Tamandua tetradactyla: one gene and its partners. The protein of the gene in region 3 interacts with the protein of the main gene of each other region in a pairwise test. Links are inferred from orthologs where the notes say so. Each region holds a gene or a part of one and is shown on either strand. Other genes may lie near its edges. The genes, in order: MAGED1, SPAG8, PITX1 and ZBTB32.

The links.
Region 1: the proteins of PITX1 (region 3) and MAGED1 interact in binary tests that used the Homo sapiens proteins (3 or more experiments, as listed by UniProt). The link is inferred for Tamandua tetradactyla from reciprocal best matches to the Homo sapiens genes PITX1 and MAGED1.
Region 2: the proteins of PITX1 (region 3) and SPAG8 interact in binary tests that used the Homo sapiens proteins (3 or more experiments, as listed by UniProt). The link is inferred for Tamandua tetradactyla from reciprocal best matches to the Homo sapiens genes PITX1 and SPAG8.
Region 4: the proteins of PITX1 (region 3) and ZBTB32 interact in a two-hybrid assay, tested with the Homo sapiens proteins (2 studies listed by BioGRID). The link is inferred for Tamandua tetradactyla from reciprocal best matches to the Homo sapiens genes PITX1 and ZBTB32.

Annotation. Positions count from the first base shown.
Region 1 is NC_135353.1:118,152,753-118,160,008, forward strand, and holds the start of MAGED1 (melanoma-associated antigen D1), read right to left. Parts: upstream 3,012-7,256; 5' UTR 2,934-3,011; intron 1-2,933. UniProt on the Homo sapiens protein: Involved in the apoptotic response after nerve growth factor (NGF) binding in neuronal cells. Inhibits cell cycle progression, and facilitates NGFR-mediated apoptosis. May act as a regulator of the function of DLX family members.
Region 2 is NC_135328.1:59,954,151-59,961,914, forward strand, and holds the start of SPAG8 (sperm-associated antigen 8), read left to right. Parts: upstream 1-4,752; 5' UTR 4,753-5,410; coding exon 5,411-5,448; intron 5,449-5,550; coding exon 5,551-6,403; intron 6,404-6,521; coding exon 6,522-6,696; intron 6,697-6,899; coding exon 6,900-6,945; intron 6,946-7,027; coding exon 7,028-7,142; intron 7,143-7,262; coding exon 7,263-7,325; intron 7,326-7,463; coding exon 7,464-7,586; 3' UTR 7,587-7,764. Other genes in the region: adenosine 5'-monophosphoramidase HINT2, read left to right, coding at 2,121-2,201, 3,445-3,585, 3,722-3,826, 3,949-4,021, 4,139-4,230. UniProt on the Homo sapiens protein: Microtubule inner protein (MIP) part of the dynein-decorated doublet microtubules (DMTs) in cilia axoneme, which is required for motile cilia beating.
Region 3 is NC_135346.1:14,175,155-14,183,127, reverse strand, and holds the start of PITX1 (pituitary homeobox 1), read left to right. Parts: upstream 1-4,969; 5' UTR 4,970-4,996; coding exon 4,997-5,165; intron 5,166-7,404; coding exon 7,405-7,637; intron 7,638-7,973. UniProt on the Homo sapiens protein: Sequence-specific transcription factor that binds gene promoters and activates their transcription. May play a role in the development of anterior structures, and in particular, the brain and facies and in specifying the identity or structure of hindlimb.
Region 4 is NC_135342.1:30,268,546-30,276,217, reverse strand, and holds ZBTB32 (zinc finger and BTB domain-containing protein 32), read left to right. Parts: upstream 1-4,775; 5' UTR 4,776-4,787; coding exon 4,788-5,659; intron 5,660-5,932; coding exon 5,933-6,006; intron 6,007-6,105; coding exon 6,106-6,174; intron 6,175-6,295; coding exon 6,296-6,460; intron 6,461-6,631; coding exon 6,632-6,906; 3' UTR 6,907-7,168; downstream 7,169-7,672. UniProt on the Homo sapiens protein: DNA-binding protein that binds to the to a 5'-TGTACAGTGT-3' core sequence. May function as a transcriptional transactivator and transcriptional repressor. Probably exerts its repressor effect by preventing GATA3 from binding to DNA.

The DNA of each region.
Region 1 (7,256 bases), on a different chromosome or scaffold from region 3:
GTAGGGGGTACAAGAAGGGCTTTCCAGATACAAATTGTTGATCTTCATAGTGGTTACACAGTTGTGTTCTCTTTGTGAAAATGTTTTGAGGTGTACACTTATGATATGTGCATCTTTCTCTATGAACTTTAAGTTTACTTAAAAATAACACCTACAATTTTCAAGTGGTTCACTAAACCAGATAAATAAAAAATAGATGGTTGGATAATTGGATGGATGGATGGATGGACAGGTGAAGACAGGAAGATGACAGATAGAGGAAGCTAATATAGCAAGTTTAAAATTGTTGAATCTGGGTTAGAGTATAACAGTGTCCACTGTACCCTTCTTTCAACTTCTGCTTGACTGAAATTTTCAATAAAAAATATTAACCTAGAGACAGATTTTGGGCTGCTAGGCCATCTGCTCTCCTACTACATGCCTAGCAATAAACTCTTTCTCTCCTTGAAAAAAAAATACTGAGCTAAAAATACTCATCATGTCTCTCAGCACTTAATATCTGTAAGTAAGGAGTACTGTGAGCACCTGATATATTCTGACTTGTGAAAAGAAACTAATATAAAAAATGAAACGCCTATACCCAGACTGACTGTGTTTCATAGAATAATAAAATAAAATATTCTGCATATTTCCTATTGCTCAACAATAAACAGAGAGAGGGAGAGAGAGGGAGAGAGAATTTGCCCAGGACTGAGAGTCTGACAGACCCTAACTAGATGAATTCTTTTGCCACCATTTATCAAGTTACCATACCCCTCTGAGTCTTATTTTTATCATTAGTTAAAAGACAATGATACTGAACTTAGAGGATGACTTTGAATATTAAGGGAAAAACTATATTTAAAAGCATCGGGAGAACAGACACTGAATTCCTTTCAATTACCATGTCAAACATTTATGGGCAATATTTTATGAACATGGAGTGATAAAAATCAGTAGGAGAGTAAGCAAATGTGCTATAGGATCACACACAATGCATCACAAAGAGAATGGGAATGAGGTGCAGATGGAGACATGCTGGTGGCCAATAAAAAAAAAGGAATATGGGAAAATTATGAGGACGGATCCAGTTATTCAAGTATAAAGAAGGTTCCACTATGACTCTGCAGAAGGGCTCTATGATAGGGTGTGGGAGAGGGAGAAATGTAGAAGGCAGAGTGAAAAACAAAAGCAGAGCCCCTGACACAGATATATTCTGTTTCCCAGTAATATCTGAATAATTTGTGCCCTCACTTTCTTCAGGTCTCTGTTGAAATGTCACCTTACCAGGGAAGTCTTCCTGACCATCCTACATAAACAGTACAACCCACTCCCATCATAATCTATCATATATTTATTACATATAAATTTACTTAAAAGACTTTGTTTATGTTTTTCACTGCTGTATTCTCAGAGCTTCGAATACTGGCTCATAAAAGTATTCAATAAAAAAATTATTGCATGACTAAATGGATGGTTGCAAAATGGGTTAAAACCAGTATGGTGACATCTAAACGCTAAGTAATAAAGATCTGAATAGAGAATAAAGATAGGCCAACAACATTATCCTTTGAAAAAGTTTCTAAGAGTTTTGGTTCCATGAAATCTCTGCCTCGTATATTCTAAAAACTGAAAATTAGATCTAGACTAGAAAAGAGAATCACAACTTATTTTGGCAAGCATAACACCCACTAATTACAGCAGGAAGAAGAGGAAGGAGTAACTTGGTTTTCAAGATCTTTGGTTAAATATCTCTTCAAAGCTGAAAATTCTTTATGAAGATAAATTTAACGATCCGTTCCCCACTCTTGGGTAAAGAATTGAAACAAAAAATTGTAATTATTAACATTCTCACAAGATAAATTTCACATGATGACAAACGGAACAGAAAGACACATTTCACATTACAGCAAATTTTTTAGAAAAAGATAAAGTTCACATCGCAACAAATAAATCACATTGCAAACAAATAACACTTGCAAACTCCTGGGGGAAATCTTTGTCTAAAAAATCTGCCAACTTGCTATTCAATATTGCTACCAGAGACCAGAAAAGGATTTGCTTAATAAACCCAACTTACATGAGGGAATATATTTATGATTAGATGTCATTCCTGTCAGCCACTTCTCTAAGAGAAGTACTAAAGGAGATGGGAAAACTTCCACCTCCAAACTGTGACACGCAAAATCCTCTGTATTTGCCCACACAAAAAAAATTGGGGGATTCAATTTTATGCCATCATGTGATAAAAATGCCACGAGCAGAAGGCAACAATTGTTGTGTAATAATGTTTAGAGTAAAAAAATAAAAGGACATAATAATTTGAACAATTCTTTATGTCTCTTAGGACGCTGATATTTCTGCTTCCTTGCTTATTTTTTTTAAAGAACTAAAAAAACAGCCTTGACTCTGAAGAGGTCAAGCTTGATTATGGAAAATATGTTATTCGCTGACCTCGGCAAGAGGAAGAGAAGAAAGATAAGGAGCCAGCAGAGGGAGTAAAACACTGAGGTCCGAAGGAAGAATGACGCTCAGAGTAGGGGACAGGGGTTGCAAAAGGTCTGAGGCAGAAAGGGGGTGGCGTGGAAGATGGCGGTGGGAGGTAGGAAAGAGATCTGTGGGAGAGGGAATGACTCAGGATCAGAAAGATCCAGAAGAGGATCCGGGATAAGAAGAGAGGTGAAAGAACACGAACGGGGATCACAAGAATAAAAGGCGCACCGCAGTCAGGAGGGGGGATGAGAGCCTGCCATTCCTGAAGCGCGACTGGGGCGGGTGGGGGAAGGGAGCAGCGCGGCGATCATAACCGGAGGCGCCACAAGCTTTCTTCACTCAGTGTATTCTGGAAAATGAATTCCGCTTATTTCCACACCACGTGGAGGCAAGGAAGGAAGCTTCCAAGGGTCTACTGGGTTTCATTTGTGAGATTTATCAGTCCCCTTCTTTACACTCACCTTAACGAAGAAAGCGGCGACGACAGCGTGACCGGAAGCACTCTTTTTGTTTGGCGGAAGCTTTACCTTCTGCAGCCTCTTCCCCGCCTCCTTCATTCCAAGCAACTTCCTGTGTCTCTCGTAGCAAGTTCTGCAATATATGCTTTAGCTCATAGGCTTTCTCACCAGATCAGAACCTTGGATAGTTATGTAAACCGAATTGACCAGAGAATCAGTAACATTTTAAAAACCCTTCCCTAGTTATCCAAGAAACCCAGAAATTCTTTATCTCTGCCTAACCCCGAATATGCAATGTCACCTCACCTTGTTGATTCTGCCTTAGATATATCTCCTTTCCCCCTTACGCCCTTAATCCAGGACTCATTATCTTTTTCTCCTATGTCTACAGTTAGATACTTATACTCTTTTGTTTCATGGCATACTATTTGGAATAAAAGTTCATTTTTATTAGAGATATACTTTGATTTCAAGATTTTGTAAGCTTAAATTTGAATCATTTTTGTCTTACATGATGTATATAAATTTCCAAATGAGTAATGGTAAACTTGTTTAGAAAGCATTCATCCTGATTACTCTGCAAAAAGAGGAAGAAAATGACAACTGACAAAAATATTTGAGTAATAAGAATAACCCTTATTCTGTTTCAAAGACTTACAGAATTATTTATTGCCACTACCTACAGAAAGCTCTCCCAAGCCCCAAATTTGCACACCAATTCTCCATTTTTGTGTGGTCATTTTTCATTAGTCCACAAGTGTATACTAACCGCCTACCATATCTCCAACACCATACAGTACCTAAAGGCATTCTACTAGGAGCTCACAGTTTGGTATGAATAAGTGATCATAATGTATTCAGGGCAAAGTCAGGGACAGCACAAGATTCTTGTTTTTGCTGATATTTGTATAATTCCTTTCAAAAATTTCGCTCACATTTTCTCATTCAACCAACAGGTTTTGAGCATCTACTCAGTGCAAGGTTCTGTGACTGTTACTGCCTGTACAAAGAAGAATAACACATTCCTGGATTCCAAGACTCTACACCCAATGGGGGAGAGAAACAAATAAATACCAGGACTGCAATGTGACAATAAAACTTAATAAAGAGGAGACAATGCAGGAACTATGTCTATTGACTCATGAATTTTGGACGCCCAAAAGAGACTTTATCTCCTACAGAGTGCACAATAAAGAATGGTCGAATATTGAATAAATGAAAGGGGAATGGCAGCGGAGATAAAGCACACTGTAAAAAGAACAATGGTGACCAGCATGGCTGCAGATATGAAAAGAGGCCATAGAGGCATGAATCTTGTTTACCATGTTATGGAGTTTGGACTTAACTATCAGGAAAACAAGAAGCCAAAGAAGGATTTTAAGCAAAAAAAGCGTGTATTCATGAGACTCAGAGTTAGAGCTCTGAAGCTATGAAAGTCAGCACCACCCCATGCAGGAACTGTTTATAAAGTTGAAAAAGGGATCAGACTTCGAATAGAGATATGAATGAAACTGATTTGGATAGGATTAAGGTATATCAAAATGCAGGGGAAAGGATGATATCATCCATATTTTATAACTTCAATTTCTGTCTAAGACTAAAGAGAGAAAACGTTATTGGGTGCAAAATTTTTATTTTGGGTAGTGCATTTCCTAATTTAACTTGTATGGTAAGTTTAGTTGGACACAATAAGTACATGAAATCTTGAATAGAGCATGACATTTTCTTGGTTTGTTCAGGTTAATGTGGTGCCCCAATATATCCCAGAGTATTTGGGGCAGTGAATAAAAAAGTATTTGCAAAGTCCCCTTAGGGGACTGGGGAGAAAAGAGGAAATATTCACCTTCCCCATTTGGAGAATTTCTGATATTCTCACAAGCAGTGGGGACAGGCAAACCAATAGGTCCAGCCTTCGATCTTGGGGTTTGCCCTTAGGAAACATATTCTGCAAAGGATAGGCTAAGCCTACTTAAAATTAGGCCTAAGTGTCACCCCTAGAGAACCTCTTTTCTTGCTTAGATGTGGCCCCTGTCTCTAAGCCAGCTTGGCAGGGGAAATCACTGTCCTTCCCCCTGTGTGGGACATGACTCCCAGGGGTGTAAATCTCCCTGGCTATGTGGGACAGAAATCCTGGGATAAGCAGGGACCCAGCATCAAGGGATTGAGAAAGGCTTCTTGGCCAAAAGGAGGAATAGAGAAATGAGACAAAATAAAGTGTCCATGGCTGAGAGATTTCAAGTAGAGTTGAGAGTTTATACTGGAGGTTATTCTTTTATTTTATTTTATTTATTTTATTTTTTATTAATTAAAAAATTAACTAACACAACATTAGAAATCAATCCATTCTACATATGCAATCAGTAATTCTTAATATCATCACATAGGTGTATGGTCATCATTTCTCAGTACATATGCATCGATTTAGAGAAAGAAATAGCACGACAACAGAAAAAGAAATAAAGTGCTAACACAGAGAGAAAACACAAATAAAAATAAAAAGTACAAAAATATATAAGAGAAAAAAGAAACAAAAAAAAAACTATAGCTCAGATGCAGCTTCATTCAGCGTTCCAACATAATTACATTACAATTAGGCAGTATTGTGCTGACCATTTTTTTTTTTAAGAAATCATACCATTCTACATATGCAATCAGTAATTCTTAACATCATCACATAGATGCATGATCATCGTTTCTTAGTACATTTGCATCGGTTTAGAAGAACTAGCAATATAACAGAAAAAGATATAGAATGTTAATATAGAGAAAAAAATAAAAGTAATAATAATAAGAACAAAACAAAACAAAACAAAAACCTATAGCTCGGATGCAGCTTCATTCAGTATTTTAACATGAATACTTTACAATTAGGTATTATTGTGCTGTCCATTTTTGAGTTTTTGTATCTAGTCCTATTGCACAGTCTGTATTCCATCAGCTCCAATTACCCATTATCTTCCCCTGTTTCTAACTCCTGCTGAACTCTGTTACCAATGACATCTTCCAAGTTTATTCTTGAGTGTCGATTCACATCATTGGGACCATACAGTATTTTTCTTTTAGTTTTTGGCTAGATTCACTCAGCATAATGTTCTCTAGGTCCATCCATGTTATTACATGCTTCATAAGTTTATCCTGCCTTAAAGCTGCATAATATTCCATCGTATGTATATACCACAGTTTGTTTAGCCACTCGTCTGTTGATGGACATTTTGGCTGTTTCCATCTCTTTGCAATTGTAAATAACGCTGCTATAAACATTGGTGTGCAAATGTCTGTTTGAGTTTTTGCCCTTAATTCCTTTGAGTAGATTCCCAGCAATGGTATTGCTGGGTCGTATGGCAGTTCTATATTCAGCTTTTTGAGGAACCGCCAAACTGCATTTCACAGTGGTTGCACCATTTGACATTCCCACCAACAGTGGATAAGTGTGCCTCTTTCACCGCATCCTCTCCAGCACTTGTCATTTTCTGTTTTGTTGATAATGGCCATTCTGGTGGGTGTGAGATGATATCTCATTGTGGTTTTGATTTGCATTTCTCTAATGGCCAGGGACACTGAGCATCTCTTCATGTGTCTTTTGGCCATTTGTATTTCCTCCTCTGAGAAGTGTCTATTCAAGTCTTTTTCCCATTTTGTAATTGGGTTGGCTATCTTTTTGTTTTGAGTTGAACAATCTCAGTATAAATTCTGGATACTAGACCTTTATCTGATATGTCGTTTCCAAATATTGATTCCCATTGTGTAGGCTGTCTTTCTACTTTCTTGATGAAGTTCTTTGATGCACAAAAGTGTTTAATTTTGAGGAGCTCCCATTTATTTATTTCCTTCTTCAGTGCTCTTGCTTTAGGTGTAAGGTCCATAAAACCGCCTCCAATTGTAAGATTCATAAGATATCTCCCTACATTTTCCTCTAACTGTTCTATGGTCTTAGACCTAATGTTTAGATCTTTGATCCATTTTGAGTTAACTTTTGTGTAGGGTGTGAGATATGGGTCTTCTTTCATTCTTTTGCATATGGATATCCAGTTCTCTAGGCACCATTTATTGAAGAGACTGTTCTGTCCCAGGTGAGTTGGCTTGACTGCCTTATCAAAGATCAAATGTCCATAGATGAGAGGGTCTATATCTGAGCACTCTATTCGATTCCATTGGTCGATATATCTATCTTTATGCCAATACCATGCTGTTTTGACCACTGTGGCTTCATAATATGCCTTAAAGTCAGGCAGTGCAAGACCTCCAGCTTCGTTTTTTTTCCTTAAGATGTTTTTAGCAATTCGGGGCACCCTGCCCTTCCAGATAAATTTGCTTATTGGTTTTTCT
Region 2 (7,764 bases), on a different chromosome or scaffold from region 3:
GTGTGTCACAAGATCATCACATAGTTTATTCATCACCATGATCATTTTAGAACATTTGCAATCACTCTAGAAAAATCAAAAGAAAAAATACATCCCATACCCCTTACCCTTTACTCTCATTGATCACCAGTACTTCAATCTACCCAATTTTTTAACCCTTTATCCCCCCAACGATTTATTTCTTTTCCTTATTTTTTTACTCCTCTGTCCATATCCTGGATAAAAGGAGCATCAGACACAAGGTTTTCGCAATCACATGATCACATGGTAAAATCTATATAGTTATACAGTCGTCTTCAAGAATCCAGGCTACTGGAACACACCCAACTCTTCTTATCACCTGCCCTTCTTTGCAGCAACACTAGAGGTTCCTGCTGTCCTGGGGACACCACAGAGAACTGAAACCTCTGGGACACAGACAAGAGGGCAGTGTACATTTCCTCACAGTTAGGGAGGCCATCTATCCTTCCAAGGAAAGGAATGACTCTGGACTGCTAGAACCCCTGGGGGAAATCGCAGGGTCAATCGTCTGTGTCTAGGAAGAGAAAGGACTTTCTACAATAATATACCTATTCAAAAACAGATTGTACTATCTGCAGAAGTAAAGAGCTCCTCCTCATTGGTCATATGTAATTAGCACCATGATAAATATTCAACTAAAATTATTTCAGTTAATAACAGGATGATAAACTATGATAAACTTATGAAAGGAAGTTATGCAGTCATTACAAGTCCATTTACACAGCCTATGTAATAATATGGAAAACATTATAAGAGGAAGACTAAGGAAACTATGCAATACATATCTTCATATGTGTTGTATATTATGAAAGGAAATTCTGGGAAAACAAATGTTGATCATTTTGTGTGCTATGTGCACCTGATGGTATCAGGTGCACAAGTCGTGACTTGTCCTGTTTAACATCATACTACAACTGATGTGGTTGGTGTCTGAGTATATTAGCATTTTAAGACATTGTTTCTTATGTCAAAAATATATTTCAGTAGAGTGAAATATGCTTCTGACCTATCTGTCCATGACACAATTCCCTCGTGGTCCGAACCTTACTCATTGGTTAGGCAGGCATCGAGCTAACCGTATTACATACTTTCTCCGATTGGGAAAGAACATTGGATACATACTCCTTTGTTCATTGGTAGTGTCGGAAGGATAAGACATCCCGTCCTCCGTAAAACAAACACGCCTCTGAAAACAATATGCAGAATCCTTAGTCTATGGATTGAATGTGCTGAGAACATGACAGTAAGATGGAGTTGTCATTAATCAGTTAAAATGCTCAAGAAGCTGAAATTCCCCTTTGTGAAAAGTGTTCGCTATTTGACAAATAGGACTCTTAGACATGGACTCCTCGAGTCAGGGGGGAGAAAGAAAGGACCCGACCCCGGTGCGCCTTTAGCTCCACCTCTCCTGCGTCCTCGACCCGCCGCTTTTTTTCCTCGACCCCCACGGCTTTGGGCGTCAGGGGTTAGCGGTGGTTCCCCCGAGTCAGTAAACGCCGAGACCCCCCGCCCTCCTACCGGCCAATGAGGTGAAAGGGTCTAAAACATTTTGGAGCCTTCCTGCAGCAGGTGACCGAGCCCCGCACTCTGCCTTCCCCGGGTTGGATGCGGGAGCTGCAACCAAAGCGGTGCCAGTATTACATATCGCATGCAATTGGAAGAGAATCCCCCTCTAAGTCTCTTTTTTTTTTTTAATCTAAGTCTCTTAGTTCTTCCAATGGAGTGAAAAATTATCTCATAGCAAATCTAGCTAGGGAATTCGTTGGAAAAAGAACTTTCACCCTGAAGGCGAAGCCAATGGAGCGGAGAAATCACCCCCGAGTTGGCAGAAGCCGCCGGGAAGGGACGAACCCGCCTCCAAAGCGGCGGCCAGCCCGCGCCGCTGCCCCGGCCTCCCCCTGCGCCCGCCCTGCGCCGGTCCTGCCTGGCAGCGCCACCCAATGAGCCGGCGGGGCCGTGCCGCTCGCGGAGCCAATGGCCGCTGCTCGCCAGCTCCCCGGTCAACCCCAGTCAGCCCGCGGCGCGGAGAACGCCACCTCCCACCCGCTGCAGAGCCCAAGTGCGGGCCTGCGTGAGAGCGGCCCGCCGCCGAGGCGAAGATGGCGGCGGCGATGGTGCTCTCCGCTGGGGTGCGCGTGGCGAGCAGGGCCCTGGTTGTCGCGGGGTCGCGGGGGGCGCAGGTGAGAAGTGGCCGCGGGGAGGGTGTCCTGCGGGCTCTGACGCTCTCCCTGACCGGGGTCCACAGTCGTCCTCGGCTCCCAAACGTGCGCACGGCCTCGCTGGGGCCGGAGCTCCTTACGCTGGCCGCTGCCTCTGGGCTGCGAGGGGAGGTCGGGCTGGTGGCCGCGGCAGTTTCCGCGGAACCCTCACCCCAGGCGAAGCGAACGGGAGATGACGGACATCCTGCGCAGACCTGGGCGCCGAGCTCTGGACAGGGTCGCTGCAGCGGCTGTTGCGTTCTCCGCCTGCCTGGAGCCCAGCTGAGCAGACGCCTGCTCTGGGAAGTCTCCTCGGTGCCTCCTGCAGGAAATGAGCTTTGACTTCTTGGAGCCAGGCTTTTTACCCCGTCTGACTCCTTCCCTTCTAGTAAGCACTAGAGTTAACCTCTCGTCTTCCCCCTTGAGCAACTCAAGGGGTCAGAGAGTTTAATTCAAGCCGTCCCTTCAACACCCACAAGATGAGTTGGCTGCATTCAGCCTTCTTCGCGCCCCCGGATGACTGGAAGTTCCCTGCCCCACAATCCTATGGGCCGGGAGAATCGAGTTCACATAATCGAACTTTTCTTTCTACTGGCTCAGGGACTGGATTCACAATCCACATGAAGAGGTCAGGTGTGACACCCAGATGAGGGATAAACTTGTGTCAAACAAGGCCGTTGCATTAAAACCTGAATGAAACAGGTGACAAGGCTTAAAGATCAGAAAAAACAAGTAAGGAAATGGAGGAAACTTATTAACAAGATGAGAGTAAATGAAAAGCACTCCAAGTAGTCCTAAGAGATGGTGAAGAAAGATGAAAGAAATGCAAATCCTTTATTTTACGTGTGAAGCCCAGAGAAAAGAAGGGGTTTATCAGAGGTAATTCAAGGGTAAAATAGGAAATATGACTAAGTCACTAAGTTCTCATTCTGGATGGTTTCCCTTGAACGGTGCTAGATCCCCTAGGTAGATTAAAAGCAGAAATCAATTATACTGAGTTGTAATATTGTAAAATTGTAATAATTTTCTGACGGGGCCCAATACCATCTGGCTCTACCCTCTGCTGCTACTGCTACTGCTGCTGCTGCTCTAAAATTCAGGATCTTTTCCTCCTTAGAAGAATGGAGTTAATGACTATCAGAACTCAGCTTCTGCTACCTATGTAATACTACATAGGAGTTGTATTATCAAATTCCTTCCTTGGGTCTGTCTGACCCACCTTCAGGTCCGAGGAGCTGCAGGTGTGACTGATGAGAATGAAGTGGCCAAGGCCCAGCAGGCAGCTCCTGGGGGTGCAGCCCCAACCATCTTCTCCCGGATCCTGGACCGAAGTCTCCCAGCTGACATTCTATATGAGGACCAGCAGGTGGGGTGCCCTTAGGATCCAGCCTCCCCAGGAATTTCATAAGCAACCCCTCAAAGTTACCGTCCTGCCTGTTGGAAGGAATGTGGTGGCCTCTGGCCAGTTACTGCCAATGATATGTCCTTCCTCCTATCCCCAGTGTCTTGTGTTCCGAGATGTGGCCCCTCAGGCTCCTGTGCACTTCCTGGTCATTCCTAAGAAACCCATTCCTCGGATTAGCCAGGCTGAAGAGGAGGACCAGCAGGTGGGAAGAATAGGGGCAGGGTTTGGCTGGGATGGGGGGTGAGAGTTGGGGTGGGGAGCTGGACTCAGATAGAGCTTTTGCTTCCTGTGAATGATGACACCTGCTTCCCTCCCTTCGTATAGCTGCTAGGACACCTACTCCTTGTGGCCAAGAAGACAGCAAAAGCTGAGGGCCTGGGGGATGGTTACCGACTGGGTGAGTGACTTTTGGTCCTTGAAACCCTCACTTCTGAGTTGAACCTACCCCTTATGTGATCTTCAGTCCTTGGCCTTTTCCACGATCGTGACCCCCTAACTCCAAGCTCCATTTCAGTGATCAACGATGGGAAGCTGGGCGCACAATCTGTGTATCACCTGCATATTCATGTACTTGGGGGCCGACAGCTCCGGTGGCCTCCAGGTTGAACTAACCAATTGACCAAGAACCCCAAGCCTGGATGCTTGAGTGGGGAGGAGGAAAACGGGCCTTGTGCTGCTAATAAACCTTGTCTTATCCAACGATGAATCCCTGTCTTAAATATGTAGAGATTTATACCACAAGAAGGAAAGAAAACCAATTCAGGGCTATGATCCCCTTTGAGTAAGAGACAGTAAGGAAGCTTAGCTTGTGTATAGAGTGTGCCTACAGATCTGAGTTCTGAGTTCTTATGACTAGTAGTATACCCTGATTCAAGCTTCTGGAATAGCAGTAGGAATTAGGATGAAGTGAGCAGGGAGAGACTGGATCCCAGGAGTAAGACTTACTCAATCCTGGCCCTCATTCAGAGGCCAAGTCAGGTTCTAAAGGAAGCTGGGGGTTAAGGGGAAGAAAGTGTCAATGTGAGGGAGTTTTGCCTTTTATTGGAGGTGAAGCAATCACACCAAAAAAAAAAAAAAAAAAAAAACCTGCTACCCTTTGACTACTACACGCCTCGCACCGTTTTGCATTTACACTATCATCTGTATTTTAATCTTTAAAAATTTTGAAAACACTCCCCTCACTTTCATTTTTTGTATGCTCTATGGCAGGGGTCACATATCATTCTTTTTCCATATGCGTATCCCCTTATTGCAGGACCATTTGCAAATTTTTGTTTCGTTGGTTTTTGTCTGTTTGCTTGTTTGTTTTTGTTTGGGGAAGTGCATGGGCGGGGAATGGAACCCGGGTCTCCCACAGGGCAGGCGAGAATTCTACCACTGAAGTACCCCGCACCCCCTTCCCCTCACTTTTGAGAATGAAGGAAGGGGAAGTTACTGTTGTCCCAACACAAACACACCAAGTAGACTTTTGCCTTTGATTCCACAGCTCTGTACTTGTCTCTAACAAAACCCGTAAAGAACCACTCTTAGAAAGTCATAAAAAACCATGCTTGGGTTTGGAGACCGAACCATAAGCCGGAGGAACCTGAAAAACCCGGCGGAATCTTGAAACTCTGGCTGAGGCGGAATGGAGACTGGAGGGGAACGCGGACCACACCAGGTTTAACTTCCGCCCCGCAGAGGACTTGCCTCCACCCCCACCCTCCACATCCGCCCAGCTCCCGTCTGCGCAGTCTCCCGGAATTATTTGTCGTCTCTATGGCAACCTGGCAGCTGGTGTCTGACGATGGAGACCAACCCGTCTAGCGAGGAAACGGAGTCGCGGTGAGAGCTGCAGCTTTGGCTGCAGGCACGAGGGTTCAAGGAAGGTCTGCTGACTTCCTCCGCTGTGCTTTTGACAATCTTGACAGCTTCGCTTTTTTTCAGGTCTTTAGATGTACAGCACAGCTCCGGAGGCCTGGGGTCCACTTCGGAACCGTTTCCTTCTTCAGATGGCGGTGCTAGGTCTGCCCTGACAGCCGCAACCGTAGCAGCTGCAGCGGCTGCATCAGTGGCATCAGCTGCTGCAGCCGCCTCCACCGCCAAAGCAGCTGCACTATCTGCAAAGACACCAGGGCCCTACTCGCAGCACAGCCTTCTCACCCAGCTCTCCTCTGACCTCAGTCTTCCTGGGGAACCCTCCACTGAATCCAGCTTTACCCAAAGAATAGGCTGCGAGAGCCAAGGCTTTGAGCCCGTCTATGTTTCCTGTATTACTCAGGACCCTTGTACCACAACTGACCTTACCTCTAGCTCTATCCCTATTCCTGGCTCTAGCTCTGTCCCTGTTCCTGGCTCTAGCTCAGGCCCTGTTCCTGGCTCTAGCTCCAGTCCTGTACCTGATTTTAGTTCTGGCCCTGTTCCTGGCTCTAGCTCTGGTCCTGTTCCTGCCTCTAGCTCTAGTCCTGGCCGTAGCTCTGGCCCTGGCTATGGCTTGGGTCCTGACTCTGGCCCTAATCCTGTCCCTGACTCTGGACCTTGTCCAGGATCTGGCCCTGAGCTCAGCTCCTACACTGTTCCAAGGAACAGAAGGCTCGGGGCAGATCTGGTCCCTGATTATGCCACTCGGAGTTACCATGGCAACTGGGGTCCTCAGAAACCACCAAGCTGGAAATTTTTGCAAGTTCCAGAACCTGGTGCCCGAGGGCTATGGAAGCCCCCAGAGGTTGAAAGGAAATCTAAAGTGCTCCACGAAGCATTGCCCCGGGGCCAGTGCCTACTCTACAACTGGGAGGAGGAGGTATTAAGGTTTTGGCCTGTTCCCTTTTCTTGATGCTGCTCCCAATTTCCTGGGGAAGGTTCATGATGAGGGTGTGTACCAGAAGGGACAACATGGTCACTCAACTTGTGGCCCACAGAGAGCCACCAACCACCTGGATCGAGTCCCCAGCATGCAGGATGGCTCTGAGAGTTTCTTCTTCAGACATGGACACCGGGGATTGCTGACCCTACAGCCACAATCACCCATGCCATCCAGCACCACCCAGAAAGATTCATACCAGTCCCCAGGAAACCTCTACCAGCCACTTCGAGGTGTGAAGCATGAGTAAGGGAACAGAATGAGTCCATTAGTCAGAGAAAAAAGAGAGGAAGGAACTTCTGGTGGGACTGTGGATTGTTCAGTGGGCATAAGGGCAGAAAAACAAGATTTTCCTTCCTTTATCTCAAGTTTGTTTCTTCTTAGCCTACTTCTTAACCAGAATCACCCACTCTGTTCACTCCCTGTCCTTCCACAGGAAAACGTGAAGCCAGGTTGGAGATGCTCCTGCACCACCAGATCTGGTGAGGCTTGGTGAAGGGGAAGGAGGAGGGGGGAGACAAAAATTTGGGGGAAATGGCCTTGACTCTCCCTAGGGCTATACAGTGAGGAGGTGCAGGCAGAACAAGAACCCAAAAAGAAGCTTTTTGAGGTTGAATCAGTGACACACCATGACTACCGAATGGAGTTGGTGCAAGCAGGGCCTCCTGCCCCCATAAAGGTGAGAACCCATTTCACCTCACGTGCACAGCTAGGTTCTGATGAGGTGTGGGAAAGCAGAGGCCCAGAGGTTAAGAGAGGGGCTGCAGGTGAAGAATAATCCAGTCTCTCTCCCTCACAGCCTCATGACTACCATTGGGAACAGCCTGAAACCTTCTGGATACAGAGGGCACCACAGCTCCCGGTATGTGAGGGTGACTAGGCATTGGAGGTGGGAGAGAAGGAGAAGGGGAAGAGGCTATTCTGTCTCACTTGTGGCAAGTGGGGGGCTGCAGAGCAGGGACAGTATCTGTCCTCATTCCTCATTCTGGCACTCCTCTAGGGGGTCAGTAATATCAAGACACTGGACACACCATTCCGGAGGAACTGCAGCTTCACAACACCAGTCCCCTTATCCCTGGGACAGCCTTTGCCCTATGAACCCGAGAATCCCCATCAATTGTGAGAAATATTGTCCATGGCCTGTCAAGGGAGGAGGGCAGGGTGGTAGAAGCGGGAGAACTACTCCTGTCTAAAGGTTGGGAAAGGGTGGTGATGTGGAATGTGGGATCTGTTTCTATATGGGGAAGAAGGTAATTCTATCTGTACTTCGTGAGGAGACTTTACATAAGAGATTATCCCTC
Region 3 (7,973 bases):
CTTCGTTCGTTCGTTCGTTCGTTCGTTCCGGCAGCAATGCCGCACAAAAGCAGCAGACATCGGCCGGAGCCCCGGCTCCCTTCGCCGCCGACCCCGATGTCCCACCGCAGCGCTCGGAGGCGCCCCTGGCCCAGGAAGGCCTGGCCCACGCCCAGAGCTACTCTCGCCCGCCCGCGTCGGGCTTTTCCTTCCCCTACGAGAAACCCTAGTTGCTCTTCGCAAAGTCCAATAAAGACATTCCCGTGGCTCTTCCCGGGTCTGCTTGTTGACGCAGGGTTCCCGAACACACAACCGCTTCTTTAGAGCCGGGTCTCCGAGTTGATACTGACGGGCCTGGAAAACTGCAGCCGACTCTGCCGTGGCAAAGCATGGGCCCCAAGACTGGGATCGCAGAAACGAGAACCTAGGTTGGAGTCCTAATTCCAGGTTTTCCGATTTAGGAATTCCCTGAATCTAAAAATTTTCTGAGTACACTTTTCTGAAAAACTAAGGCCCAGGTATTCTCAGTTCTCCGGATCGTGGCCTCTGACAGCTGCCAGCGCCAGAGCAAGGAAACCGGGTTGCTGTCCACTTGGCCGAGGATGCAGTTATAGGGTATTGGCCAGATGTAGGGCAATGGCAAAGACCACAGGTAGCAGAACAGCAGAGAAAGGGGACTTGCTGTCACCCTGTCCTGCCCCAGGCTGAGACTCTTCATCTTTGGAAAAGAACTGGGCTGGGCATGGACACCAGGCTGCCTGGAGTCTAGGATATAAAGGTGGCATTTGTTGACCTGAGTCAGGCGGAGTGTCTTTTTCCCAGAAAAGCAGCTGTTGGATAGAGGACCTGTGATGCAGCATATATGCTCACCGGTTACGGGAGTGCCCACAGCCACTTTCGTGGCCCTCTCTTCCCCTTGGCTCCGCCACTCTCAGGAACCAGACAGCATCTGGTGGACGCCAGTGAACAATGGACCAGGAAAGCAATGGGCCCTACCAGCCACTGACCCAGCAGCCCACAACCCAGTTCCCTGCTCCCACTGGCACCCAAGGGCTGCGGGTCCTGCCTGAAAACGTCCCAGCCCTCCCCACCTGGGCAAAATGGGGGGGGGGGCGATTGTCAGGAAGACTCGGCCCTTAAAGAATCCACAGAGATCATTTTCAGCCCTACCTGAATACCCCTCCCCGACCTCTCCCCAGTAATTGCTTATGCTCAAAGAAATAAGAGTTTTCATTGGGGAGGGGCTGTTAGGTCAGTCAGAAGGAGGTAGGTGGTCTCGGTGGCACTCCCGAAACTACTTTTTCTCGTTTGAACTTCTCCAAGCCGAAGAGGCTTAGGGACTGGAATGTCCCAGAGAGTCGTGAGTGGCCCTGGGGGCAGGCTATGGTGCATTCCTTCGCTTTTCCTAAAACTTCTTGATGGGGGGGCAAGGATTAGGAGGGCTACCCCATGGGTAGGTGGTAGAATGCCCCTAGGAAGGCCCTCTGACCACCATTCTCACATTAGATTACTGCACCAGTCTTGGGCAGTCTGTTTTGAGGGAGCCAGGACTCACGAAGGATCCCCGTGGTGACTGTTTCGGTCACTTGGCAGTCCAGCCTCCTCTGCTCAGTCCAGCCAGGACCCAAATTTCCTGAAAGTCACAGAATTATTGCTGGCTCTGCGTGGCCTGAGAGGGATGCAGAAGAGGGCACAAGGTGCCAATTCAGTAAGCTCTCTTCCCTCCCCATGTCCCATTCTCCAGGAACCTGGAGGCTGCAGCAGCAGGCAGGGATTGCTGTGTCCCATGTCGGTCATGGGAACTGCAGCACAGTGCTGGTCAAACCTCGCCCAAAGTCACACAGGGGAAACTGAACCTCTGCTCTTACTCCAGAAAGACTGCTATCCTGTATGTGTGTGCGTCTGTGTGTGTATGTGTGGCACCTATGTGTACAAGAAGCCCCCATCCTGATTGGGACAGTGGCCAGTCGGAAAGCATGGCTGGGAGAGAGCAGTGAGAGACAGCATTGAATACCCAGGTTCCTTCTCGAGCCATGCCTGGGATCAGCCACAGCCCCGTCTCTCAATTACTTCCTCTCCCCTGCTAATTCAGTACTGCCCAAATTCAGCAGAATGACTCTCCTGGCCTGTCCCCACTAACCTGAGCCCCTTCTGGGTTTCAAGGCCCCTGGGACCCTGAGCTTCACTGGCAAGGGTGTGAGGACCTTTCCATTCACACAGCAGGCATCAAGTGTTTCAAATAAAGGGGCTGTTGTGGCTGCCTGGAACACTGCCAGAGGCCTGGATCCAGATGGGCACACAGCAGGTGCTCAATAACTGCATTAAATGCATAAACATAAGGGATGCAAGCCCCCCTCAGACCACATAGCTGAAGCTGCAGTCACAGAACAGTACCCACCCACCCCCAATCCATGGACTCTTTTGGCCCTCTGGGAAGTAGGGGACTTGTGACCTTCGAAGCCTCAGGATGCCCACAGGCAGGCTGTCCTTTTCCATGGCTCCACCCAGTGGTGTACCATGCTTCCCACCTTGGCCTGACACTTGGCGGGCTGAGAACACACCTCCTACCCCAGACCAGCCAGCTTTCGTGCCAAACAGCCTGGGTGCCCCGGGACCCAGAGGCCTGGCAGTGTGCACATTGTGCCTGTGAGCCTGGACTCAACACTCCCACATGTGGACGCAGTATGTGTGTGTTGGGTGTACATGGCACACCTGTGTGAGTGTGCACTCTCTAAGGGTGTCTGTATCCAGACCGGCTGGGTGGCACACTGCTGGGGTAAGCAGCTCCAGGGAAGATAGTATGTGAAGGGGCAGCATGTTGCACCACCTGAAAGCTGCTGCCAAAGTTTCAGCCAAGAAATGTGGTAAAGGGGGCTGAGGGTAAACGTCCTTCCCTCATAACCAAGACTAATTAATTTCCTCTCAGGGGCCTCTGAACTTAAAAGAAACTTCCTTTGGGGAGGAAAGGGCGGGAGTCAAGTCATTGAGTCTCCCCATCCCAAATTTAGGAGGCATCCTCTCTCTAGCCTCCGTCTCAGAATGACTGTGGGCCCTCTCCCCATGGCCCAAAGCAGGGGGCCTTGGGCCGAAGCTGAAAGAGTGGGAGGCAGGTCTGGTTGTACCCTGCACTTGGCCCTGCCCAGCAATCCACACCAAGGAGCTCAACCTGGGGCCTGCGTGTTGCCTCAAATGAGGGGCAGGGTGAGAACTCGACATCAGTGCCTGCAGAGCACCCCAACATTGACAGCCTGCGGTATTCTGTCCCAAGCAGAGACCCTGAGGAACAGATAAGGATGCGCTGGGCCTGGAGAGTAGGGAAGGGCTTCTCCCCATAGGCTGCCTCCCAGTGTTGCTCCCTGGGTTGCTGTTTCTGGTGGAGCAGATCAGGTGAGGGGGAAAGAGCAGCCTGGGAGTCCAGCTGTGGCCAGGAGCAGGTCAGGGCAGCACCCTACCGCCACAGCTGTCGCTTGTTTATTCAAGACGCTGAGGTCTCAGGGCCAGTTAACAATTGTTAAGCAAAATCCCTTGACAAAGTTCACTGAAGCGGGAGGACTCAGGGAGGGGACCACCCGTGGGGGTGGGGAGGGTACCTTTGCCTGTGCGCAGCAAGGCCCCACTGGTGCTGCAGCTTAGTTCCCACTGTGTTGGGGAGAAGCTCCGAAGATGGAAGGCCTCGACTGCCAGCCTGGGGTTGGGAGACCAAAGTCATCTGCCCCACCAGGCCTGTGCCTCCAGACCTAAGAAGCTCGAGCATGGCCCCCCACCCCCTCCCTGGGGCAACACTGCCCTGCAGGGGGCAGAACAGACCCCCGTGGCTGCCATGGCCCAGGCCTGGACGGTTTGAAGAGGCCGCTGAAGGTGCAAAGCAGAAGAGGCTGCGGGGGATCTTGGGGTCTCCCGCTGCACTCGCCAGCGGTCTGGAGCCAACAGAAACGTTTTGTCTGATTAGAAGCCATCATTTCTGTCCCAATCCTGGAAAACTGCGATACAGAGGAGGAGGCCTGAGAAGCAGCCTTGGGGGAGAGGGTCCAGGCTAATTAGGAGGCAACATCCGGGGGCCCATTAGAGCGCAGGCTGCTGTCACTCAGCCGGGTTTAGGTCCCAGGAGAAGAGGCAGGGGGAGGAGAGGCCGGCGGCCCTCGATGAGGACCCCGCTGGGAGCTGCGGGAGGGGGCCCCGGGCTCTGCCCCGGCTCTGGGCGCTGGCTCGGAGGCGCCCGCTCGGTGCGATCCTGCTCGGCGAATATTCACTAATCCTGGGACTGTTCTCGCCGGGGACTAGGGACTTCGAGGCGGCCCAGACAGGAGTTGATTCTAAGTGAAACAAGTCATTTGGGAACTGAGGTGGGCACGAGCCGCGCGGGACTTGCAGGCCAGATGCGTTTCTTTTGTGCGGCGGAGGGAGAACTCGGTGTGTCACCGGGGAAGGAGGGAGAGGCACAGCGAGGCCGCGGGGGGCGGGAAGGCGGCGGGAAGGTGGCTGCCGAGGGGGAGGGTGCGGGCGAGGCAGGGAGGGAGGGAGGGCGGCAGAGAGGGCGCGGCGGCGAGGGCGGCTCGGGGCTGGATTCCGCCCGCGCTCCTTCGCTCGCTCGCTCCCTCCCTCCCCAGCCCCCTCCCACCCCGGCCCACCCCACCCACCACCCCTGGCGCAGGGACTGCTGGAACCTGGCGGTGCGCTCTGTCGCTTTAAGACAGACTCTGCCGGCGCCGTCCCGACCCTTAGAAACCGGCCCCGGATCGGGAGCCGGGGCCGGGCAGGCAGCTGAGGCCGAGCTGCACGAGCGCTGCGCGGAGCGCGGGGCCTGGCGCCCGGGCGCGAGAAACCGCCGCCGCAGTCGCCGCCGCCGCCGCCCGCCTGGCCCCGCAGTCCATGGGGCGGGCGCGGCGTCGCTGTGGGCGCGGGCAGCCCCCGGGAGCAGCCGCTTAGGCGCTGAGCTCTTGTCCCCGCAGGTCGCAGCCAGGGCGGCCGGGCGCGCCCAGCCCCGGCGCCTGGAGCGCCCGCCGCGGTCCCCGCCTCTATGGACGCCTTCAAAGGGGGCATGAGCCTGGAGCGGCTGCCGGAGGGGCTCCGGCCACCGCCGCCGCCGCCGCACGACTTGGGGCCCGCCTTCCACCTGGCCCGCGCCGCCGATCCCCGCGAGCCGCTCGAGAACTCCGCCAGCGAGTCGTCCGACACGGAGCTGCCAGGTAAGCGCGGCTCCCCTCGCGGCGCGTACGGAGCCTTCCCAGGCTCAGGGTGCGGGGAACCGGGAACCAGGCCTGGCGCCCGCGCGGCGCTATCAGGACCCCTTCCGCCCCCAAAACTTTGCTTTTCCTGTCCTTGACCTGACGATAAACGCGGAAATTTACACCACCACCACCCCCAAAATTAAACACACCCAAAGGCATTTCTACGATGTCCCCACGCACCAAGAGACCGGCAGACACACGGACCTGCGAGTTGAGAGCAGGACTGACATCCCCTCTAGATCAGGGACAAATAGAACGAAGAAAAAGTTGGTTTCGCGCAACTGGGAACTGAGGGTGCGCTCGCGCGGAGGGAGAGGGGCACATGTAGAAGAAAGGGTGGACGTCGGACGAATAAGTGTCCAGAAAGCTGAGAGGGGGACAGTCAACTGTACATACGGTGGGTGACAGATCGAGGGGGCGAGTCGAGAGAAAACGGGGGTTGACGGGGGGCAGTGTCAAATAAAAGGAAGCCAGAGAGGCAGCGAGGGACAGCGGGCCAAGAGGCCCGCTTGGGCTCCGGGCAGGGCCGGTCGGGACCCTGATCGAGAGATTCGGCTTCCACGTGCGCCGCCGGAGCCGAGAACCGCCAGGCAGCTCAGCCAGGGCTCCGACGCGACTCAGTCACGTCTCTCCGGGCGCTGCCTTTAGGTCCGAGATCGGATTTTTCCCCAGCCAAGAGTGGAGCGGGCCGGTGGGCGTCGCGGGCAAGCGGCACGACTAGTGCCGGGCGGGTCCAGGCTGCCTGGGGCTCTCGCGCCTCCCGCCCTAAATCGGCGCTGCGGTCGAGCTCCTAGTTCCCTGGGCCAGGGGCGCCTCTTCCTGTGTTCATTTCTTAATCCAACACTGAGTGTTTCTCTCCACATTTTTAATCTCTATTTGTTTCTGTTTTGCATCCCTAAGTGACTTTCACTGAGGGGTTTTGTTCGCTTGGTTAAAAAACATCGGACTGTGCTTTTGCTTTTAAAGTTTTAAGCGTGGTCTTTGTTTTTTATTTTTAAAATACATAGTTATAGATTGATTTTTAAAACTAAGTCTATGAGTTGAATTGGCAATTTTAACCTTTTTAATTTAAAAGATTTAATATATTAGATGAATTTCTCTGGAATTTAAAATATCTATTTGAAGCATAATCTGGGAGATTTTTTAAAAGTCAATCCAAAATGGCGAATTTCTCTGAGATTGTCTCAAAACCCATTTTCAGCGGTGTTATTTTGGAGATTTAAATTCTCTAACTATAATGTATGTCTCTTCAATTTAAAAATAATCTCTTCGAATAAACTAATCATTGGAAGGGGGTTAAAAATCTATCTACAACAGTACACTGATTTTTTTTTTAATCCTAGAGAAATAAATGCCTGTGTTCTGCCTGCAGTTTATACACAAACAGGACTGTATTTATTTAGGGGTGTGTTTGCTCCGAGGTTTCACGCCTATTAACCTCCATTTACTCTGTGTTCCTACCTGCCTATTTTTGAGCATTTGTGACCATTTCTGTGTTTTTAGGTATAGAGCTGTGAACTTTTCTGGGCTTCCTGGTTTGTTCTTAAATTATTTTCCTATATGTTTCAATGTTTCTATGACTGCCTGTGTTTTGTGTAGTTTTAATGAGGGGAAAAGAGAAAGAGCCAGTTTACGGGTCACCTAGACAGGGTGGGCTGCAGCGGTTGGGGTTTTCTAAGCCTTGGGACTCGAGGCGGAGAGCTGAGGCCGAGAGCCCGGGGCCTGACCTAGGCCTCCGGCACAGCTCTGGGGAGAGGAAAGCAGAGGGCTGCAGGCCACTGCCTGGCTTTTGTCCCCCAAACACCACTGGCTTTAGGCTGGAAAGATCCTGGCTCAGAAAAGCAGAGACCCCTTAGATTTAGACCTCAAGAATCCACAAAAAAAATTATTTTTAAAAAAGCGCACTTACCGGTGACATCCGCAGCAGCCCCAGAGGCTGAGCCTGAGAGCGGGCTGCAAGGGCAGGCCCTGCGAGAACCCAGGCCCGCGGCTCTGGCTCCTGGTCTTTTCTCCTGGGCACTCCAGACCAAAGGTTCCTACTGACTTGACAACCAGGGACCCGGGGGGCTCTTTCCAATGCCAGGGCCCCTGGCGGGAGGGAGAGCAAGCGCTGACGGCCGGCGCTTCGGCGGAGCCGGGACCGGGTGCCAAAGGGCGTAAGCCCGAGGTGACCGGCTCCCCGTCCCGCCTGCCGCAGAGAAGGAGCGCGGCGGGGAACCCAAAGGGCCGGAGGACAGCGGCGCGGGCGGCGCGGGCTGCGGCGGCGCCGAGGACCCCACCAAAAAGAAGAAGCAGCGGCGGCAACGCACGCACTTCACAAGCCAGCAGCTGCAGGAGCTAGAGGCCACGTTCCAGAGGAACCGGTACCCGGACATGAGCATGCGAGAGGAGATCGCGGTGTGGACCAACCTCACGGAGCCGCGCGTGCGGGTGAGCGCCGGCTGCCTCTGCCGCAGCCCTGGAAAGCCTAGACCCGCGCGCGCAGACTTTCACCCTCTACCCACCCCTCAGACTTCTCCTTCCCTCCGCCGGAGAAGGAACCCCACCCTAGGTTCCGGGTCACCCAGCGGCTGCTAATCCTCCTAACCCCTGATGCCCCTCCAGGCGCCCCAGCCTCCTCTCACCCACATCCTACCGGACCCTCAGCTCTACCACCATCCGGGCCTAAAGACCAGTGGCCCCAGTGGGCTCTCCGAGGCTTGGAGGGCCCAGAGACCACACGGATGTTAGTGGGATACTCTGGGCCCAAGATTCTGGTCAGATGAT
Region 4 (7,672 bases), on a different chromosome or scaffold from region 3:
CATGTTAGCCTGTATGTCCAAGTTCAGTCTATATACCACCCCCACCCCATCTCGAGTTAGGGCCTAGAGTATGCACAGCAGTAGCATTATCTACTCTCATGAGCACAGACCTGGGGTTGAGGCCCATGCAGGCCCTGGAAAGGCTCAGAGCTATCTGAGCCAGGAAGTCCAGAATTCTAGGCTCTCAGAGCATGGTCTAGAAGGAAGGGGATGTGGGCTCCAGGTAGGTACTTCCTACCAACCCTTGGACTTTACAGCCCATGGAGAGGAACACAGTCAGAGGAGGCTGGAGTGGAGGGCTCTTCCCTATTTAGGACCATACTGGTATTCAATATTGATCTTGAAAATAGCTCCTTTGAGGAAGCTGAGGGTCTTCATAGAGTCCCATATTAGGGCAAAATAAGTCTGTCCTTTCTGAAAATGTAGTGGAGCCTGTTTTCTGACTTCCAGTCTAGTTCTCTTACTAATTATTCCATAAAAAGTTATACTATTATAGGGTCTATCTGTGATTTTCACATAATGTAGAACATAAGTTTAAGGGATGAAAGGAACGAATTCACCCTGTCATATCTATTATCTGGTATACGCTGGATGTACTTAACTAAGAAGAGTAAACATCTTGAAAATTCATGTAAAATTTGGTCTTAATCTGTATAAAATGTTGTAGAGGGTTTAGCCACCTTAATTTTCCTGAAAAGATGTATTCCTGGGAAGAGTGGCAAATTCACAGAATTTTTCAAAGCTGAATCTTGTTTAACTTGACCTGGAAATGGGAGAGAGCTCAATATTTAAAATAAGTGAAGGGTGAACAATTTTCATAAAACAAATCATTATCCCTGTAACAGACTTATTCTGATGGCTTCATTTCAATTATAAAGAGAATTATGTTTTGCATTGCTGTGCCAATTTTTTTTCATTTCTTTCTTTAATCATGGTAACATGTAGGTAAGTTAAAATTTTCCACTTTAACTATTTTTAAGTGCACAATTTTTATATCAAACTGGATTGTGCCTGAAGGGGGTTATGAGGCCAGGATCTCTGGGCAGTTTTTTATTTAGTTCCGCAGACATGGTGTGCAATAAGCCCCTCACACATTTTCCCCCCTTATTGTCCCTTTGGTCAAGCCTATTAGTGAGAATTTAAAATTATCAAATTTCAAACATCATTTAGTAATATGAGTATCGAAAGCACTGAGAGGCAGAAATCATACCTCCTTTTATCACATAACTCCTTTTCTTACCTTTCTACCCACTCTACCTTCTCTCAGGATGCAGGCTTATGCCCTCTTGGCCTGTGGTTTCCTGGCTCCACTCAAAGGGGATAATTATAGGCAATATCTGCTGAGGCAGCCTGCGAAGTAGAAAGTGGGCAGGGTTCCTGAGGTCGGGAGCAGAGATCTTTCAATAACAGTCAGCACTGTCTGTATCCTTTTAAGTCAAGGAGCTATTTGTTTCTGTTGTCACTGCTCAGTGCTGGATGGCTTGGGCTGCGCTGTCAGCAATGTTGGGAGAGACTAGAGAAGGGCCTAGAGCATCATTGATTCTAAGGGTCGAGGTACAGAGAGCTCTAGAGATACCTCAGAGGAGCTGTCTCTAAGGGGATATCCTTAGGTAGGGTAGACACCAAGCGAGAGGCAAGATGGGGTTTCCCATTCTTGGGGACTTTTGCTCCCTAAATGGGGAGTCCCCTTGCCCCTTCTCCATTTTAGGCTCCCTTAAAGTCCATGATACTCTTGTCAAGACCCACATTTGGCTTACAGAGGTCGCTGCCCTCTGAACAGTCTCCAGATCTCTTGATCATTAAGAGATGATCCACACTGGTGACAGGAGCTGAGTTGCAGGCATGCAATATAGCGATGGGAGGTGAGGGGAACCATAATCTACTGGGTGATGATGTGCTCTCCCAGACCCCTAACCTTTTCCTTGACACTCGGGCATCCTTCTCATGGCTTTCCTAATTTATTTCATATCTTTAAGGATCATGTGTTTCTGTGTTGGAAGAAGGATTCTCTCCATGTACATTCAAATCAGGGATTGATTATCCCTTTGTGTGTCCGGGCTATGTGTCTTTTATGTGGGTGTTTGATGAGTCCCTAGGTGTGGTGATGTGAAGAGTTAGAAAGCTCAGAAATGGAAAATATTTAACGTTCAGAGTAGTAGTAGATGAATACAAGTTGCCCATTTGCATTTTTCCTTTCACTTTGACTCATCTTCCCCTCTCTGCACCCCATTGCCCCTCCACCAGCCCCACCCATTGGCACACCCTGTATGATCTAGGATGTGTTAACACCTACCTGCACCCAAACTTGGATGAGAGTTAGAGGGAAGGCATGTTAGGCATAGAAGGAGAGAACAGCAGGTTAACCTGAACATTTTAGGGTCTGGGAGCCCAAGGGAGAATAGGAACTTAGAGACACAAAATTTGAGTCTTGCAGAGGACCGGGATCTCAATGGGAGGCCAAGGAGCCAGACTGTCTTTTTTGTCAGCAAGGCAGCCTACCAGTGCCTGACATTCTTGTTTAACTTTCAGTTATTTTGTGAACATATATGATATGCCAGGTATACACTGTAAATTATTTATCAACATTTGTTGAATGAAAATTTTACTACTGGAGCAGGAATAGAATAAAAAGAAACAGAAAAACAAATGTGAGTCTCTCAGACCTCATCCCTTCCCCAGATTAAAGAGTACTAACGTGTGAAAAGAGCGGAAATCTCTGGGGACTTTGACCATTGGGCAGGAAGTGAAAGAAACCCTGAGACCTGATTTCAGAGAAATGTCATTTGTCATCAGCCCAAGAAAGTGAATTTTTCTTTTCAAAGACCACCACAGACCTTTCCTGGGGTTGCCCCCTCCAGAGTATGATGGGAGGATTTGAGTTACTCACATACCTTATTCTGATGGCCCAGAGTACAGGGGTCTTTCCCAAAGAGCAAGTGATACCTCTTAGTACCAAGTCAGGGAAAGGGAGGAGGCATGCCTTTGGCCCTTCTTCTCCTTCTCCTTGGAATGCAGATGTTTCAGTCTTTTTTACTTCTGAAGTAGAAGCAGAAACAGCTTCCAACTACTATGACTCTACTATCCCCTCTAAGAAACAGAACTAATACTATTTGAATGATGTTATGAACTTAGAAACCATTTTCACATACATCATGTCATTTCATCTTCACCCCATCTTCAAATGAGGTAAGAGAGAGTATACCTATTTCATGGATGAGGTAACTGAGGCTGAGAAAGAAGACTTGCCCAAGGTGATTTGACCAGTAAATGGTAGAGATGTGATTCAAGTGCAGGCCAGATTATCCAAAAGTCCCTGTTGCCCCAGATACATTTCTTTGACCCTAGGAGTTCACAAATGAAATAAGGAGACAGGTCAAGGGGCAAAATGTCTAGGTTCTGCAAATAGAAGAGGTAACTCTTCTTGGAGAAGTGAAGCAGAGTCAGGGGTATAAAAGCCACACCCCTTTGGGGGACTGTGGCTGACTGTTATTTGGGGCATCCAATGGAGGACTCTGAGGTCAGGGGCGGAGCTAGTTCCATCAGGCCCCCAGGAGTCCAAACAGTGTTCAGAGCATGCGGTGTCCAGGGAGGAAGCTACAACCGGTGAGTGGTTGCTTCTCCCCAGCTGAGGCTTTCCTCCCAATATATCCACCACCACCCCCAACTCCCTGGCAACCTGCAACCCTCAACCTAAATTGTCCAAGTAGTAGTTCTCCCTCCCACAAGGGTCCTTGTTCATGGTGAGCCCACCCCTCAGAATATGGCTGCTGGGAACCTGCACCTTGTTTTAGATTATTTCCCTTTGTAACTGGGTTCCCAGTTTTCTTCTTGAAAGCCAGTGTGGTGGATCTGATGTATGGTAAACTCCTGCCCTGCTGGGTTCTTTCAATTCTCTATTTTTCACTCATGAAAAACAAAATTAAACCATCTCCCTAACCTAATCTTGAGAGAAAATAGCCTCCTCCTCTATAGTTCCCATTTCCCTTTCTTCCACTTCCTCAGGAGTCAAAGCCTTCTCCAAAACCTCGCCATCCTTGGATTAGGAACCTTCTCTTCTGTGGTTTTTGTACCACCTACTCTCTTAATTCACTGGACAGTAATCTTTGGTCTCTTCCAGTTCCTTCTCTGAGGATGCATTCTAGAAGCTTCAGCCTCAGGGGAATGCCTGAGCCTGCTCTCCTGCAGCCATGACCCCTTTCTTGCTGCTCTCCATCTCTCAGGAGACTGAGCTCCACTTGATGGGCTCATGGGGGGGGGGGGGGGGTGGTAGGACAGAGTTTAGGTAGCTTTCTAAACTCTGCCCGTGAAGCTGTGTCTTGTGCCATCCCTAAATGCCAGGGCTGGCTGAGTTTGGTGGTGCTCTCTTTGTCTGGAATGAGGAAAGTCTGGCCTGCTCAAAGGTCTTGCTCTTCAGAGGGGCTTAAAGAAGTGGAAATATCAGAGTCTGCTATTTTTTAAGTCAAATTGCAAACTGGTAGTTCCCACCTATATTAAACTCACTACTTGGTGGTGTTTTTGTTAACTACCTGGTCCTTGCTTTTTAAGTCTTGAATTTGGTCTGATTTCCATCCCTATGCCCCATCCCTGTTATGATTCTGGATAAACTTAGCTCTCTCTTGGGCTAGTTTATTTGCCCCATTTCAGATCATAGAGCTGATCCTGGACTCTTTCTCCCCTCACCTTCACAGGCTTAAGAATATGCCGTTCCTCCCTCCCCTTTCCACCAAGGACCCTACACTGTGACCTTCCTCTCAGAACCTCTGAGATTGGTACCCAGATAAGGCACAATGCCCCTGAGCCCCACAAGACTGCTCAGTCCTTACAACTCTGACCGGCTGGTACAGCTGGCAGCCAGGCTCTGGCCAGCACTATGTGATGCCCTAATCACTGTGGGTAGTCAGGAGTTCCCTGCCCACAGCCTGGTGCTAGCAGGTGTGAGCCAGCAGCTGGGCCGCAGGGGCCAGTGGTCTCTGGTGGAAGGCATTAGCCCTTCCACCTTTGCCCAGCTTCTGCAGTTTGTTTATGGGGAGAGTGTAGAGCTTCAGCCTGGGGAGCTAGGGCCCCTTGAGGAGGCAGCCAGGACTTTGGGAGTACAGGCTCTGGAAGAGGCATGCAGCAGGGCTCAAAAGGACAGGGCTAAAGAGGAGTGGGATCCAGGGCCGAAGAAACACCAGGAGGAGTCAGAGGAACCTTTAAAGGATTTTGAGAGAGGACTGGGAGGCTTTAGAGAGAAGCAGAGACCAGAGAAGTTTTTCAGAGCTGGTGGGAAAGAACAAGAGATGTTGCATGAGTCCAAGCCACCAAGAGAGAGCCCCAACATAGCAGGGGCAATATGGGAGGGACAGGGGGTACAGATGAAATCAAAGGAGGAGAAACTCAACCAATCCCTGGTTGGTCAAGGGGGGAGAGATGGGAAGCCAGAAGTGGTCATGTGGGTGAGAGAGAGTCAAGGGGACTCTGAGGCAAGTCTTCGGGGACTAACAAGTCCCCTCCAAGCCAGCATCATCCCCAGGCCCTGGTGGGCTGAGGGCCCCTGCTTGGGGAAGGATCAGCCTGCCCTGTGGAGCATCCTGCTATGGCCGTCCAGATATGGCACTCCCTTCTCTCATAGCACCCCCTTCAATGGAGCCTGGCAGGAGGTCTGGCCTTGGAACCAGAGGTAAGTGAAAGGCCTAGTGTAAGACCTCCCAGGCTGGGAGGGAATGGCCCAGTAGTGGTGATGGGCGCAAGGGCACCATATCTCTTTATTTCTACTGTACATTTCCTAAGCTGGGGATAGTACAGGAAGCTCCCACCACAGGGGAAGCCAGAGCCCAGCCCCTGAAGAAGACTTAGGACACACCTCCCCAGACAAGGACAGGTTTGGTTAGGCCCCTATGCTTTGCCAAAGCTGTAACTCTGCCCCCCGCCCTGCCCCCGGCACCCTCCTCAGGACCCCACTGTCCCTGAACCCCCACAAAGGACTCTGGAGCCAGAACCTGTTGGCTTCTTCCAGCTCCACCCCAGGTAAGCTCCTTGCTGCCCTATAATGTGATCCTTCCTCTGGGGCAGGGGCTCCAGGAGTCCAGCCTGAGTAGGGCCCCTACTTCATTCTGTTCCCTCCAGGTTCCTTCCCCCAGTATCCCACACAGCTCAACCCTGGGGAGATGGAAGCGTCTGATCAGGGGGACACAGGTGAGTAGGGTGAAGGTGCTTTTGCTTTCCCACTGTGGCCCTAATATCTTGCCTGGGTGTTTCAGTGACCCGGTTCTGGGATGCCTATCCTTGCCCTCCTTTGACTCTTCTGTGCCCACAGGCCCTCTAGAAACCCACATGGGTCAGGACAGGAGAGCAGGCTACTCATCTCACCAACACTCTCCCCCAACCCCTCCTGCTCGGGAAAGGCCCTATTCTTGTTCTGTCTGTGGAAAGAGGTTTTCACTCAAGCATCAGATGGAGACGCACTACCGAGTCCATACAGGTATGGGCTCCTGCCCAGTGTCTTCCCAACTCCAGTCTGTGCGCTCCTGCATCCCTCTTTGCGTGCCCAGCTCGCGTGCACCCACTGGCTGGCCCCATCGCCTGATGTACCCCTAGCTCAGCAGGCTTTGCCTTCTTTCCTTCACTTGGCCTCCCCTTCTGTCCGCCCTAGGCGAGAAACCCTTCTCTTGTGGCCTCTGTCCCCAGCGCTCCCGGGACTTCTCGGCCATGACCAAGCACCTGCGTACGCACGGGGCTGCGCCCTACCGCTGCCCTCTGTGCCGGGCGGGCTGCCCCCGCCTGGCCTCGATGCAGGCACACATGCGCGGCCACTCGCCCAGCCAGCTCCCGCCGGGATGGACCATTCGCTCCACCTACCTCTACTCCTCCTCTAGGCCGTCCCGGGCCTCGACTTCTTCCTGTAGCCCCCCTCCCTCCACCACCTGAAGGGACTGTAGGGAGCTTCTTTGGCCGACGGCCGCCCGCCGCCTGACCCGGCTACTAGCAAATTCGGCTCCATACGCGCAGCAGAAAAGGTGAGGAGAGCCTTCCCAAGGACGACCGTGGGCCGCAGAAGCCTGGGCCGGCAAGTCCGAGTGGGATGAGGGCAGTTAAGTTTGCATGAGTGAAGATCAACTGTACGGGGCCTGATGACCGCATCATCATAATAAAGAGTTTCCTGTGCTCTCCACTCAGGACAAAAAGTCGAGTCCAAACTAATCTGTGCGCCGGGTCTCACGGGTCTTGAAACTTGTCCTATAGCGGCCCCTGGTGGCCATGCGCCCACTATCCCGCCCGGGAGCCAGCCGCTACCTCCAACTCTCGAGACACTCCGTTCTCCCCTGGAAGCAGCGGGTGTCGAGAGCTCGGTGTCAGAGCTGACATCGCAGCAGGTACTGAGCGGTTTGTGAGACACCAAATCACTCGCCCCTTTTACAGCAAGCAAGCCACAGAATTAGCGTGCAGCGCCTGTTTAGGCGCGCCCGGCCCGAGGCTCCAGCCGAACGCGGGCTCCGCCCTGCTTTTGGCCAGCCGACTTCTTTCCCTCAGCCTCTCCCCTCCGCGCTGTACCGACCGGCCTCCGCGGTCACTCCAGGAACTGAAACTAACCCTTTGCCCCTGCCCCTTCCCAAGCCCACGCCTCCCGGTGACGCGAACTCCATTTCCCAGAGTCTCCGAGGTCCCTAGGGCCGAAGTCTGCTGTGCCTTGGGA